Linked DNA regions of Oryctolagus cuniculus. The protein of the gene in region 1 purifies or fractionates together with the protein of each later gene. This does not show direct contact. Links are inferred from orthologs where the notes say so. Each region holds a gene or a part of one and is shown on either strand. Other genes may lie near its edges.

The links.
Region 2: the proteins of NUP98 (region 1) and SEH1L fractionate together in Homo sapiens (co-fractionation; 3 studies listed by BioGRID and IntAct, with this or other methods). This does not show direct contact. The link is inferred for Oryctolagus cuniculus from reciprocal best matches to the Homo sapiens genes NUP98 and SEH1L.
Region 3: the proteins of NUP98 (region 1) and NUP62 purify together in Homo sapiens (affinity purification with western blotting; 3 studies listed by BioGRID and IntAct, with this or other methods). This does not show direct contact. The link is inferred for Oryctolagus cuniculus from reciprocal best matches to the Homo sapiens genes NUP98 and NUP62.

Annotation. Positions count from the first base shown.
Region 1 is NC_091432.1:63,101,829-63,105,865, forward strand, and holds the start of NUP98 (nuclear pore complex protein Nup98-Nup96), read left to right. Parts: upstream 1-1,237; 5' UTR 1,238-1,394; intron 1,395-1,543; exon of another isoform or gene 1,544-1,761; intron 1,762-4,037. Other genes in the region: PGAP2 (post-GPI attachment to proteins factor 2), read right to left, coding at 800-896. UniProt on the Homo sapiens protein: Plays a role in the nuclear pore complex (NPC) assembly and/or maintenance. NUP98 and NUP96 are involved in the bidirectional transport across the NPC. May anchor NUP153 and TPR to the NPC.
Region 2 is NC_091441.1:69,834,922-69,839,093, forward strand, and holds the start of SEH1L (nucleoporin SEH1), read left to right. Parts: upstream 1-1,372; 5' UTR 1,373-1,505; coding exon 1,506-1,616; intron 1,617-4,172. UniProt on the Homo sapiens protein: Component of the Nup107-160 subcomplex of the nuclear pore complex (NPC). The Nup107-160 subcomplex is required for the assembly of a functional NPC.
Region 3 is NC_091449.1:7,660,853-7,664,835, forward strand, and holds the start of NUP62 (nuclear pore glycoprotein p62), read left to right. Parts: upstream 1-1,183; 5' UTR 1,184-1,293; coding exon 1,294-1,319; intron 1,320-3,983. Other genes in the region: collagen, type I, alpha 1b-like, read right to left, coding at 1-50, 827-883. UniProt on the Homo sapiens protein: Essential component of the nuclear pore complex. The N-terminal is probably involved in nucleocytoplasmic transport.

The DNA of each region.
Region 1 (4,037 bases):
CCAACACCAGTCCTTACTACTACTCCACTTTACAACAGGTCAGTTATCTCTCATTCCTCGCTACCACTGAAAACTCATCTAAGCGTTAGACAAGGCTCCCTTGTTTTCATGGTCCAGGAGGGGTGGTGGTGGAGACATGTTCTGCATACTCCACTTTCTAAACACTGCTGCTGTAACTCTGTGTGAGAGCCTCAGCCACCAGAGGTCTAGTTTCTAGAACAAGCCCACCTCTGCTTCTTGTAATACCAGGTTTCTCTGGGCTAGGCCCTGGCAGGAAAAGAGCAAGAGGATGAAAACGCAGCTCTCTGACCTCCAAAAGCCCCCAGCAAAGAAAACCAGAAAATGAATAAATAACAGGATACAAAGTGACAAGGTTGTAACAGAGACCTAACCAAGCATTAGGCAGCTTGCTGGGAAAAGTCAGCAAATGCGGGGACATTTGAACCAGGCCTTTAAGAGTAAGTACGGGTTCTCAACGTTCAAATGGGACAGAAGTTCTAAGAATCCTTAGTTGTACCGGAATCTAAGGTTGGCCATTCCCTTACAGGATCTCTAATGTTCATAATGTCTATCCTAGGGATAAAAGGAAAGGGTGTGTGCTGGTGCGGGCATGGGTTAAGAGACAAGGAGGTAGGGATTTAGGGCCTCTTAGCCACAGAATAGCTTTGCGGACAGATGCACCTCCCAGGAAGAGCGGCCAGCTCCGCACGTGGTCTGTCCAGGAAGTGTGAGCAGGGCGAGGAGGAAGCCTTCCCATCACCGCCCGCGGACTGGGGCAAGAAAAGGGTAGAATAGTTACCATGCCATCCTGGGGCCTTCCCTCTGATTGGCCCCTGCGCCCGCAGCCCGAGTCTCTCCGCTCGAAGGAAGGGGGCGGAGTCTCCAAGTAGCGTCATCACTCTTCTCCCACATCCCGCCCAGTGCACACCAGTCTGGCCACTCACTAGCCCCCTTCGAGGAGCCCTGTGTGACGTCAAGACTCTCTCCCAGCCAACCGCGGCTGTGAGGGGCGGGACTCCACGTACCTCCCACAGGCCCTCCCCTTTCTCTCCCCAACTCCATTTGACCCTCCTCTTCCCCCCCCTCCCGAAGACCGCCCTCACGTTCGGTTTCAAAAGACTCAGCGCCCAATGACTAACAGGGCGAACCTAGAGTGGCGGCTGGATCTGCCAATGCGCAGGCGGCGAGGGCGGAGCGCCCGGACTGAGCCTCTGACGGCGGGCGGCGTGTGACGCAGTCGGGCCCTCTGCGCGCTGCGCCTGAAGCGGCGGTCGGGAGCGGCGGCGGCGGCGGTGGCGACGGTTTCTTGGCAGCCTCGCGCTGCTCTGTGAGCGGCGGGCGGCGGACGGGCCTGGGCCCTCACTCCGGACACTTCCCCTCCCCCCCGCAGCGCGGTAAGTCGGGGCCGGCGGCGGCGGCGGCGGCGGCGGCGGCGAGGGACCGGGCAGGCTCCTCCTCCCCTCTGGGCGGGCGGGTGCGCGGGGCGTCCCAGGCCCGCGGCGCCGAAGTCTCGCGCCCGGGCGCGCACCTTCTGACCGGCGGCAGGGGGCGGGGCCCGTTTCGCTGCGGGCCGGAGGACCGGCTCTTCGTGTCCTCGGAGGGAATCGACTTCGGAGGGGTGTAGGCCCGGGGGTCTCCAGTTGCAGCCCACGCTTGGGGAGCTTCCATCTATCTGTTCGTACTCATTCATTCGCTTGACGGTGATTAGGAGCCCTCGGGGGCCGGCCTTTGCTGGGGCAGAGCGGAGAGAGCCAGGATAAGGTGTCTGACTCACTTCCTCGACTGTCGTGCGGGGTGGGCTTTATTTGCCTTGGTTTCCCCGTAGGAGAAATGGGCAGCCCGAGAGTTAGGGTGGGTGAGTCTGAAGTTTCTAGGCTTCTAAAGACAATATACAAGAATTAGGGTCGGTGCTGTGTAGTGAAAGGGTCGTGTCTTTTTCCCACGTGTTGCGTATCCAGCCAGATTTAAAAAAATTGGATTTCTGGCTAACTGTAATCTTAAGGACCTTAGAGATTATTCAGATCAACCCCCATAGCCTGCATCACATCCAGGTTTTATAGATGGGGAAACTGAAGCCCAGAGGCGGAGACAGCATTAGCGAATGCCAGATCTCTCGACTCAGTTTCGAAATGTGTCTGTTACCCCACCCTCCCTGGATGCGTGTCCCACTCTCCCATTATTAAGGATTCTCTTGGGGGAGGGGAGCAGAGGCATTCAGTAGTTAGAAGTAGACTTACCTTCAATAGCCTGACGGCTTTAGTTGCTACCAGCTCTGTCCATGGCCAGGTAGAAGCTTCATTAGTATCTCTTAACCTAGACCGCCATTACTAAAAAGTGGGTTTGAAAATGGCAATGATGTATGTACTGGAAAGGAATCTATACCACTGGGGCACTGGGGATCGTTGTCCAGTTTCCTATTAGAAATCTGAATTTTTGTCACTGTGTGGCTGAGGATTCAGCATACGGTTACTACAACAGTACTGTTGTAGGAACCATCACAAGACTTAAAAAGCTACACAATCACTTTGTAGTTGTACCTTGGAACTCATGGTTTGGCTCAGGTGCAGAATTCAAAGTGAGGTTTTGTGGTAGGGTAAGGCAAGGAAATTAAACTCTTTTTTTGGAGAATGGAATGAATTGGAAGAACAAAAGAAACAAGCAGTGAGCATTCTCTGTTAAGAGTCTTAGAAATTGCGAAGGAAACACTAGTTAACTGGGTGGCAGACAGTATATTTGCTTGGTGAAGGAAATTAAGCTATTTTAAAAGCCAAATCAGAGGTAGAACAGGATGAATGCACTAGGAAATGCTTCGACAGAATTATTTTGACTCACTTAAGATTTGATGAAATTGAATTAGTTGCCACGGTGGTCTGTTGACATCTGTTAGAGTGGCACCTTGCTGTTGTTTAGATGACAAAGCAAAAACTGAAAACTAGTAGTGCTTAAGAGAGGAAGGGAACTGTAGTCTAAATATTAAAATGTGAACAGTATATGTTTTCTGTGACATTTCTCAGTTAAAGCATCACCCTCTTCTGGGAAGCCTTTCCTGGCATTCTCTCTTCTAAGCTTCCCTAACACTTATTTGATGCTTCTATTTATAGCACATACCATTTTGTATTTTAGCTGTTTGTGTTTCTAGTAGACCATGGTAAAATGTTTTTTTATTTTGTACTCAGGTTGTTTTGCACATAGTGGGCCCTCATTTGCATTCAAGAATAAACAAATATGGAAGAGCTAAAACTACAGATAGTCAGCAAAGAGGCTGGGTATTTGTGGGCTTCTAAAATTTGGGGACCAGATAAGGGGTCCCAATCCGTTTATGTGTTATGTGGTACTTTGGTATTTGACTTTGTTTATGTCCACAGTTCCTGGATAACTAAACGCAAATAAGATTTTTAAGGAACCAAATTCAGAGCTTGGGAACAATTGGTCATATTATTGTAATATTTATATGGAGGCGGTTAATATAGGAAGTAGAAGTAGGACTGATGTTTAATTTCCAGTAAAGAGACAACTGTAATTGTGCAATTTGTTGAAAGGTTAGAGAAATAAGAGATTTAGATTGAACATTCAGAGGCAAGGTATGAAAACATCTACTGAGCAGGGTTTCTTTGGCACTGTTGACACTTTGGGCCAGATATTTATTGTGGTGAACTCTCTTTAGTCTTGTAGGATTTTTAGCATTTTAGCATTCCTGTCCCATCATTAGATACCCCTAACACCTCTTCTCAAGTTACAATTGAGAATGTCTCAAGAAATTGTCAGTTGTCCTTGTTTGAGACTACTGCTCTAGTGAAAACATTCTTAGTATTAGTAAAATCATACATACCTCTATCTTATCTTTATAGTCAGTTAATAAATTGCATTTTGTTGGAATAATTATCTATGAAAAACCCTTCAGTTGTCAAGTTCTGTAATTGGGAAGCTGAAGAGCTAAGAGTCCTAGAGTCACTTTCTGTAGTTCCTCATTTCAGTTCTGTGGTAGCGTCCCTTTCTCTTAAATGGGAGAAATCAGGGTCTTGTTTGAAAGAGGGTAG
Region 2 (4,172 bases), on another chromosome or scaffold:
CTCTATTCTTTGTACAACTTTGCTGTGAATTTTAAAGTGCTGTAAAAACTATTTTAAAAAAATGACATATATAACCTATGAAATACTCCATTGCTGCTCAGATAATGTCTTGGCAACTACTGATATGTTCACTGTCTCTGCTTAAAAATTTTAATTAAAATTTTTACAATATATTTTTTGTAGGTTGTTTGGACCTTGTATGAAATGAGCTTAGGTCATAGCTTATAGAAGTTAATTATCTCCAACTCACAGCTTTGGAGTCTCCTTTTTTTTTTTTTAAAGATTTTATTTATTTATTTATTTATTTATTTATTTGAGAGGTATAGTTAGACAGTGAGGGAGAGACACAGAGAAAGGTCTTCTGTCCACTGGTTCACTCCCCAAATGGCCGCAACGGCTGGAACCACGCCGATCTGAAGCCAGGAGCCAGGAGATTCCTCCAGTCTCCCACACGGGTGTAGGGTCCCAAGGACTTGAGCCGTCTTCTATTGCTTTCCCAGGCCATAGCAGAGAGCTGGATTGGAAGAGGAGCAGCTGGGACTAGAACCGGCGCCAATATGGGATGCCAGTGCTGCAGGCGGAGGATTAGCATACTATGCCACAACACTGGCCCCCAAGGGGTCTCCTTCTAAACTAGCAACAGAACCTCAATTTTAGTGTAAAAAAAAAAAGCAAGAAAATTTCAGAAAAGCCAGGTTATCCCCCCCGCCCCGTTTTAGATTTATTTATTTAAAAAGTAGGGTTACAAAGAGAGGAGAGTGGGTAGACAGAGAATAGAAACAATGTCTTCCACCCTCTGGTTCCTGCTCCAAAGGGCCACAACAGGCAGAGCTGGGCCAGACTGAAGCCAGGCGCCAAGAGCTTCTTCTTGGTTTCCCACATGGGTGCAAGAGGTCAAGAACTCGGGTCATCTGCTGTTTTCCCAGGTGTAACACTTCTTGATGCAACCCATCAGGAGAAAGATAGGACTAATAATTTTGAAAACTCTGCATATCCTCTCTTCTCCCTCAACCTCATCACCCCGATCTCTTTTTAAGGCCAATGAGCCTGGACTTGTGGCGTCATCTCCTAGTGTCTGCCCTTCGGTTGTCCCGACAGATCTCTGTTCCTGACGTTTTGACTTCGCCATTCGCTCCGTTCCCGAGGCACTTGTCTGGAGGGAAATACATCCAAATGTTCCCCCAAATTGATTCAGGGCCGAACACTGAGGCTGACACTTAAAACGTTTGAACTGTCCTTAATTTCCTCACTGCTTCCACTGCAGTTCAGGTAACGCCAAGCGCGCACAGCAGGATCTGCCGGCCGTTCAGCCTCCTCACGGACGCGCCGCGCAGACGCACTGGCGGCTTCGCGGGGCATGACGGGCAGGGGGCGGGGCCTGGCGCGCGGACAGCACGCGCCGTGCCCGTTCGGGCGGCGGGGTCTCGGCGGGCTGCGGGTTGCGCGCCACAGCCCTCCTCCGAGGCGGGAGGGGCGCACGGAAGAGGCGCGAGCGGGCGGCAGCCATGTTTGTGGCGCGCAGCATCGCGGCGGACCACAAGGATCTCATCCATGATGTCTCTTTCGACTTCCATGGCCGGCGGATGGCGACTTGCTCCAGCGACCAGAGCGTCAAGGTGCGCGCGGCGCCTTCGGTCGGGGCCGAGCCTCGAGGAGGGGGCGTGGAAGGGCTGCTCAGAGAACGGGCACTAGTCCCGATCTTAGGGCACGCCGCCAGGCACCAGGCCTTGAGCCAAACAGTCAAGGCGGGAAAGCCCCAGGCGCGAGGCCTGGGTCACTGGGTGGGGTGGCATGCGAGCACCCGGCGCACGCTGTCATCTCCGGGCGCCGGGAAAGCCCTGTCCGCCGTCTTATTGTGGGGTCACGGCTGTCTGGCGGGCCGCGCCCCCGTGTGTCTGCGCCGCGCCGGCGTCAGCCCGCGTGCGCGCTCCCGCCTCCTGCGGCGCAGGGTGCGTGCGACGGAAGGCGGTGGGTGCCGGCGAGGTGCGCCTGCGGTCGGTCCGCACCGCGCCGGGGAGTCGGGGGCTTCACATTCTGGGTGCCTGTGGGGTCCCCTCAGCTCACTGATTACGCGAAGAAAGAAAAATACAAATCGTTTTCATCCAACGGAGTTCTCTCGTTGCTATTAGGAATGGGAGTATTTGTTGCTTTAAGTTACTGTCAACGGCCGTAGGTTTCTGACAAGCGGAATGTCTTTGATAGGGGGACATTTAGGATTTAGACATTTAAGAGATACAAGATACGTGATAATAAACTTGAAGATGAAAACTGGAGTCTGGATTATTTGCATTCTTGACAATTCCAAAATAGCTGAACATCTGAAGGGTAGTTTTTTAATATTCAAGTTTGATACCAGTGATCCTTAAAAAACAATTACTATAAAAGTAAGTTACTGTTGAAAAACCATACTGTTGAGAGTAAATACCACATGAAAAAATTATTTCAACTACACAACTTTTTTTACAGTGTATAATTCTGTGACAAGTACACTATTTACCTTGTTGTAAACCTTTTCATCATCCTAAATAGAAACTACCCAGTAACCTATTCTTTCTTGTCAACAGCCCCTAGTAACCACTGTTCTACTTTCTATGAATTTACCTATTCTAGTTATCTGGTTTATTTCACTTAACATAAGGTTAAAGTTGCGATGGTAGCATGTTTCAGAATTTTATTCTTTTTTAAGTCTGAATAGTATTCATTGTATGTACTTAACCGCATTTTGTTTGTGCGTTCATCCATATGCCCTTTTGGCTGTTGTGAATAAGGCTGCTACGAACATTGGTGTACAAATACCTGTTTGAGTCCCCAGTTTCCAATTTGGGGAAATGTTTCTTATATAGTCATATATGAAAGTCATAAATCGGATGATAGGCATGGTCTCAGTATATTGATTAAGTATGTATTTAATTTATACTCTATATAACAGCATGAGATGAGTTGTATTGATTTATAAAGAGGCTGTAAGGGAAGAGGTTTTATTCCCAGAAAGTTTATTTTTTAAAAGATTGATTTATTTTACAGAGAGGCAGAGGAAAAAAAAAGAGAGACAGAGGTCTTCCATATGCTGGTTCACTCTCCAAATGGCTGCAGTGCCTGGAATTGGGCCAATCCGAAGTTAGGAGCCAGGAGCTTTTTTTGGGTTTCCCACGTGGGTGCAGGGGCTCCAGGACTTGAGCCATCTTCCACTGCTTTCCCAGGCCATAGCAGAGAGCTGGATCAGAAGAGGGGCAGCTGGATCTTGAATCGGGCCCATATGGGAGGCCGGCACCGCAGGTGTCGGCTTTACCTGCTGTGCCACAGTGCAAGTCCCCAGAAAGGTTTTTAAACTTAGAGTAATAACAAATTATATGTTTATATTTCATTAGTTTTTCTTCATTGTATTATGGCCTTATGTCCATTTCTTTCAGAGTGCTTTTTCTTACTAAAGAACCATGTACTTATTTTTACATGTGTGAATGTACACTTGCATTTGTACAATGTATATATATGTATTTTTCTGTTTGTATAAGTTATAAACTTTTCTACCATTTTAGAAAGAATTACAGGCTTATTTCTATCTTACTACTCATTAATGTTTATTGATTTCCTCTGTTCTTTTTCTTTTAGTGTTTTAAATAGTTATGGACACACACACATGTGATCCTCACATACAAAATTTTATATTGCTGCTGTGTCATAATGATTACCATTCCTAATGGCTTAATGTTTAATAATTGAACATACCACACTTTTTTTTGTTAGCTACCTATTACTGGGTCTTTTAGTTCCATTTGTAGTTAATGTCTGTCAGGAATAGCTTTACAATGCAACTCTGCATTAATTTAATTTAGCATTTTATATGTTTTGAATGGTTTCCTTAGACTAAGGAATTGTGAGATTGCCTTTTTGTAGGTTGCACCATTGACACTGCCAGTGAGAATATTGATTTGATGTGTGATTGCCCATGTTGCACATTATCACCACTTTTTTTAAAATTTACTACCTTTTTTTAAAAAGATTTATTTATTTATGTATTTGAAAGGCAGAGTTAAAGAGAGACAGAGAGAGAGAGAGGGAGAGAGGTATTCCATCTCCTGGTTCACTCCAAATGGCTGCAATGGCCAGAGCTGTACTGATCCCAAGCAAGTTTTTTCTGTCAGTTGTGGATGTGTGCAGAATGATGACAGTTT
Region 3 (3,983 bases), on another chromosome or scaffold:
CAGCCCGGTGGGTCCGGGGCTGTTCTCTGCTGCAGAAGACGCCTGCCTTCCTACCCTGCGCCCCTCCACCTAGAGGTCAGCCCCGGTTCGTCCGGGATCCGGCCTGTCCACTCTGAGCACGTGGTCTCCGGCCGGTCTTCCCGGGCCGAGGTCTCCCGTGGTGGGGGGTGTGTTCCGGCTCCATGGCTGCCCTGGGAGACTTGGCCGGTCTCCCCCACTTGCACGCGCAGGTGTTGGTGGGGTGGCGGCCACGCCGCTGGCGTGGAGGGGGCACGTTCCCCCCCCCCTTATGCACGGGGAGGGGGCACGTAATCTCGCCCCCCGCCCCCTTATGCACGGGGAGGGGGTGTTTAATAAGCCGTGCTTGGGAGTGATGGAGGTTGACAGGGAGGTTGAGAGGTGTACAGCGAGTCTGTGTGGCCTCGCCCAGCGCCCCCGCGAACGTGGTCCTGTGGCACGTTAGTCGCCAGCCCGGGCCAGGAGCCTCGGCACGCCGCCCTCCCTTCACGCCTGTCCCCTCTTCCCCGTTGGGCCTCCACAGCCCCCCTGCTCTGTGGCGGTGGCCCCACACTTGGCCTTGACCGTTTTGAAGACCGTTCGGTACTTTATGGAAAATGCTTCAGCTTTTTAAAATTTATTTGAAAGGCACAGTTACAGGAGGGCTACTGCATCCGCTGGTTCATTCTCCCAACGGCCGCAGTGGCCAGGGCAGAGCCAGGCTGAGGCCAGGAGCCTGGAGCTCCGTGCAGGTCTCCCCCGCGGGTGCAGGGGCCCAGGCGCCCGGGCCGTCTTCTGCGGCCGTCCCGGTGCATCCGCAGGGAGCTGCAGCGGAAGTGGAGCCGCCGGGGCTCGGCTCGGCGCACGGATGAGACGCTGGCGTCATGGCGCAGCTTGGTACGCGGCCTTTGAGGGGGTGGCTGGGTGGGCTGTTTTGAATAACTGGAAGTGCAGATGCCCACCAGGAGAGCCCCGCGTCCCCCCGCCCCCAGCAGCTTGACTCAGTGGTGCTAAGTGGACGCCAGTTAGCGCCCTGCGCTGCTAGTGCGCGGGTGGGGCCTCCGCAGCTGCCTGCCACCCGGGTCGTGGTCTCTGGGGTTGGGGCGCTGGCCCCTTCACTCCTGGGCCGTGGCTGCTGGGACTCCTTTTTTGGTGCGGAGGCACCTGTCGGGGAGTGAGGCGGCCGATTGCAGGCAGGTTGCATCAGCTGTGGCTCTTTGCTGGGAGGAGCGAGAGGATTCTCTGGGGGCCCAGGAGCACCTGGCAACGGCTAGGCTCCCTCCCGCTTAGCCCTGCATGAGGGAGAGGCCCCACGCAGCCTGGTAAGGGGCTCGGAGGGGGAGGGGACCAGCCCCTGTGTGGGGCCCCAAGAATCCAAATGGAGCCTCGGGCGTGGGCCAGCTGCGGAGACCAGGCTGAGGCGCCAGGAAGTAGGAGAGGCGCGCAGAGCCCACCGTCAGGGCCCGGGGCCCTGAGCGGGCTCCAGGCCTGGACCTTCAGCTCACACCTCAGGTTTGCCGAGCTGTGTGGATCCAGCCTGCCCTCCCCTGTCACCTGCGCTGTTGCCGCAGCCCCCCGTGTTTCCCAGTCAAGGTAGCGCTTGGCGTGATGGAAAGGGCCCCAAGTTTTGCATCAGCCAGGACCCAGGTTCCAGTCCCGAGCCTCAGCACGGGTCCGAGCCAGGCGGCCCGCACACCTCCCACCTCCACCGCGTCTGGGGCCCGGCTCAGTGGCCCAGGAGAGCTGCCCTCCTGAGCAGGGCTGGGGGCCGGAAGTGGGGCGGGTGAAGCCCAGCGCCGACGGGGCGCAAGGTCTGTGCGTGTTCACTCATCCCGCTCCGTCCACACTTTGTTCTGTATTGGAGGGCAAGGTCAGGCACCTCCTCCCCAGAATTGTCCCTCACGGCCCCAGGCTGCGACCTTGGAAGTGGTCAGGACATTTTTGTAAAAGATTTCTTTTTTTTTTTTTTTTTTTTTTTTTAATTTGAAAGTCAGAGTTACACAGAGAGAGGGAGAGGTCTTGCCTCTGCTGGTTCACTCCCCAATTGGCCACAACAGCCAGAGCTGCGCCGATCCAAAGCCAGGAGCCAGGAGCTTCTTCCAGGTCTCCCATGCAGGTGCAGGGGCCCAAGGACTTGGGCCATCTTCCACTGCTTTCCCAGGCCACAGCAGAGAGCTGGATCGGAAGTGGAGCAGCCGGGTCTTGAACCAGTGCCCATATGGGATGCTGGAGCTTCAGGCCAGGGCGTTAACCCACTGTGCCACAGCGCCGGCCCCCAAAAGAGTTGTTTTTGCGCAGAAGTTGGAGATTCAATACAGCGGCTGCTGCGCAGGGTCAGGGAGGGTAGCAGTCACGCAGACCAAGGGTGCAGGGGCTGGGGGTGGGCGTCCTGGCAAACAAGGGCAGAAGGCCAAGGCCAGCTCCGCTGCAGAAAGGGCAGCGTGGGGGTGGGCAGGCGGTCAGGCTGCCACGTGGCCGGCGGCTCAGAGTCCCCGCAGGAGCGCTCACAGCCAGGCCAGGCCCCCGCTGCCGAGCTGGCTGGGCATCCTTGCTGTCACCCTCTCTCGGTTTCCTGTTCTACTGTCACAGGTTGCCACGCACTTGGCTCCCTTAGAGCTCTGGAAGGAGGGGACTGAGGTGGTGCACAGCGCTGCGCTCCTGGGGCTCGGGGCAGACGCTCGTCCCCAGCCTGCGAGCCCACCTGTGTCCTTCAGCGGGGGCCTCTTCCTCACCTCCTATCGTGCCGTCGCCTGGCTCCCCCATTGCTCCTCCTGCCTCTCCCTGGAAAGACCTGCGGGCCTGTACGCAGGGCCCGCCTGGGTAACCCAGCGCAGCACCTGTGACACGGAGACAGGAGGAGGGCGGAACTCCAGCTGTGGACTGGCGAGGCCGTTGTGCCGCCTACCCTCCTCCCCGAGCCCCAGGTCCGGGCCTGGGATAGAGGACAGGGCCAGTTCTGGGTTGCTCCGTCCCTTGGCTGCTGTCACTCGCCCTGGTGGCCTGTGCTGCTGTCCCCTCCAGGGAAATGGGGGTGCAAGCAGAACCAGCACCTGGCTCAGCAGGTGAGAGCTGTCCCCCCAGCCCCGTGGGCCTGTGTCGGGGACACAAGGAGTACCTGGGCCCCTGGAACGGCGCAGGTGATGTCTAGGGCTGGCCCATGGTCCAGGAGCGGCTGGTTCCACGGAAACGGAAACGCTGGATTTTTTTTTTTTTCCTGTGAGATCGCAGTCTCAAAGGACAGCGAGTAATTCAGAAGGAACGCGGGAAACCGCAGCCGGTTAATCAGCCAGGGGCTCTGAGCCGGAGGGGCTGGGCGCTCCTGTGGTTGGCACGTGTCCCTGGAAAGGCCTCACAGGACACTTGGGGCCCCCTGGTGGTCCCCCCCAGCAGGTGCATGGGCAGGGCCCTGGGTTCCCTGACTCCTGCCCACCCTGCCACAGCTGGAAGAGTTGGGTGGCAGACGAGAGCAGGGCCCCTCCTCACTCCAAGCCTCTTGGGCCCCAGGGTGGGAGTCCCCTTGGATGCCTCTGTGAGAGCTGAGCTGCCCCAGGAGGTCGTGCGACGACCTGGGGTGTCACAGAGGGTGGGTGGGGTGCTGTGTGGCACCGAGGAGAGGCTAGCTGGGAGCCGGGCTGTGGTCAGAGTCCTAGTGAGCTGTGTGACTTCGGGCAAGGTCCTCAAGTTCTCTAGGCCTCGCTGCGCTTATCTGTGAAGGGGGAGTGACCCCAGTTCCCACCAGTGCAGATAAAGCCCGGAAAAGAGGACCTGTGTCCCTGAGATATTACTGTAGCCATTAGACTGGGGCAGAATCCGTCACCCTGCCCCCCACGCTGGCTGCTTTCCCTGGTTCCCAGAGAAACCTCTCCATGGCAACCCCTCCCTCCCTCCCCCGCTGACATGGTGCCTCTCCCCTGGGGAAGCAGGTGTTGATGAGTGAGGCGGGGTCTTGCCCCGACACGGCCCCTGCCCCCTGCTTCAGCCCCTCT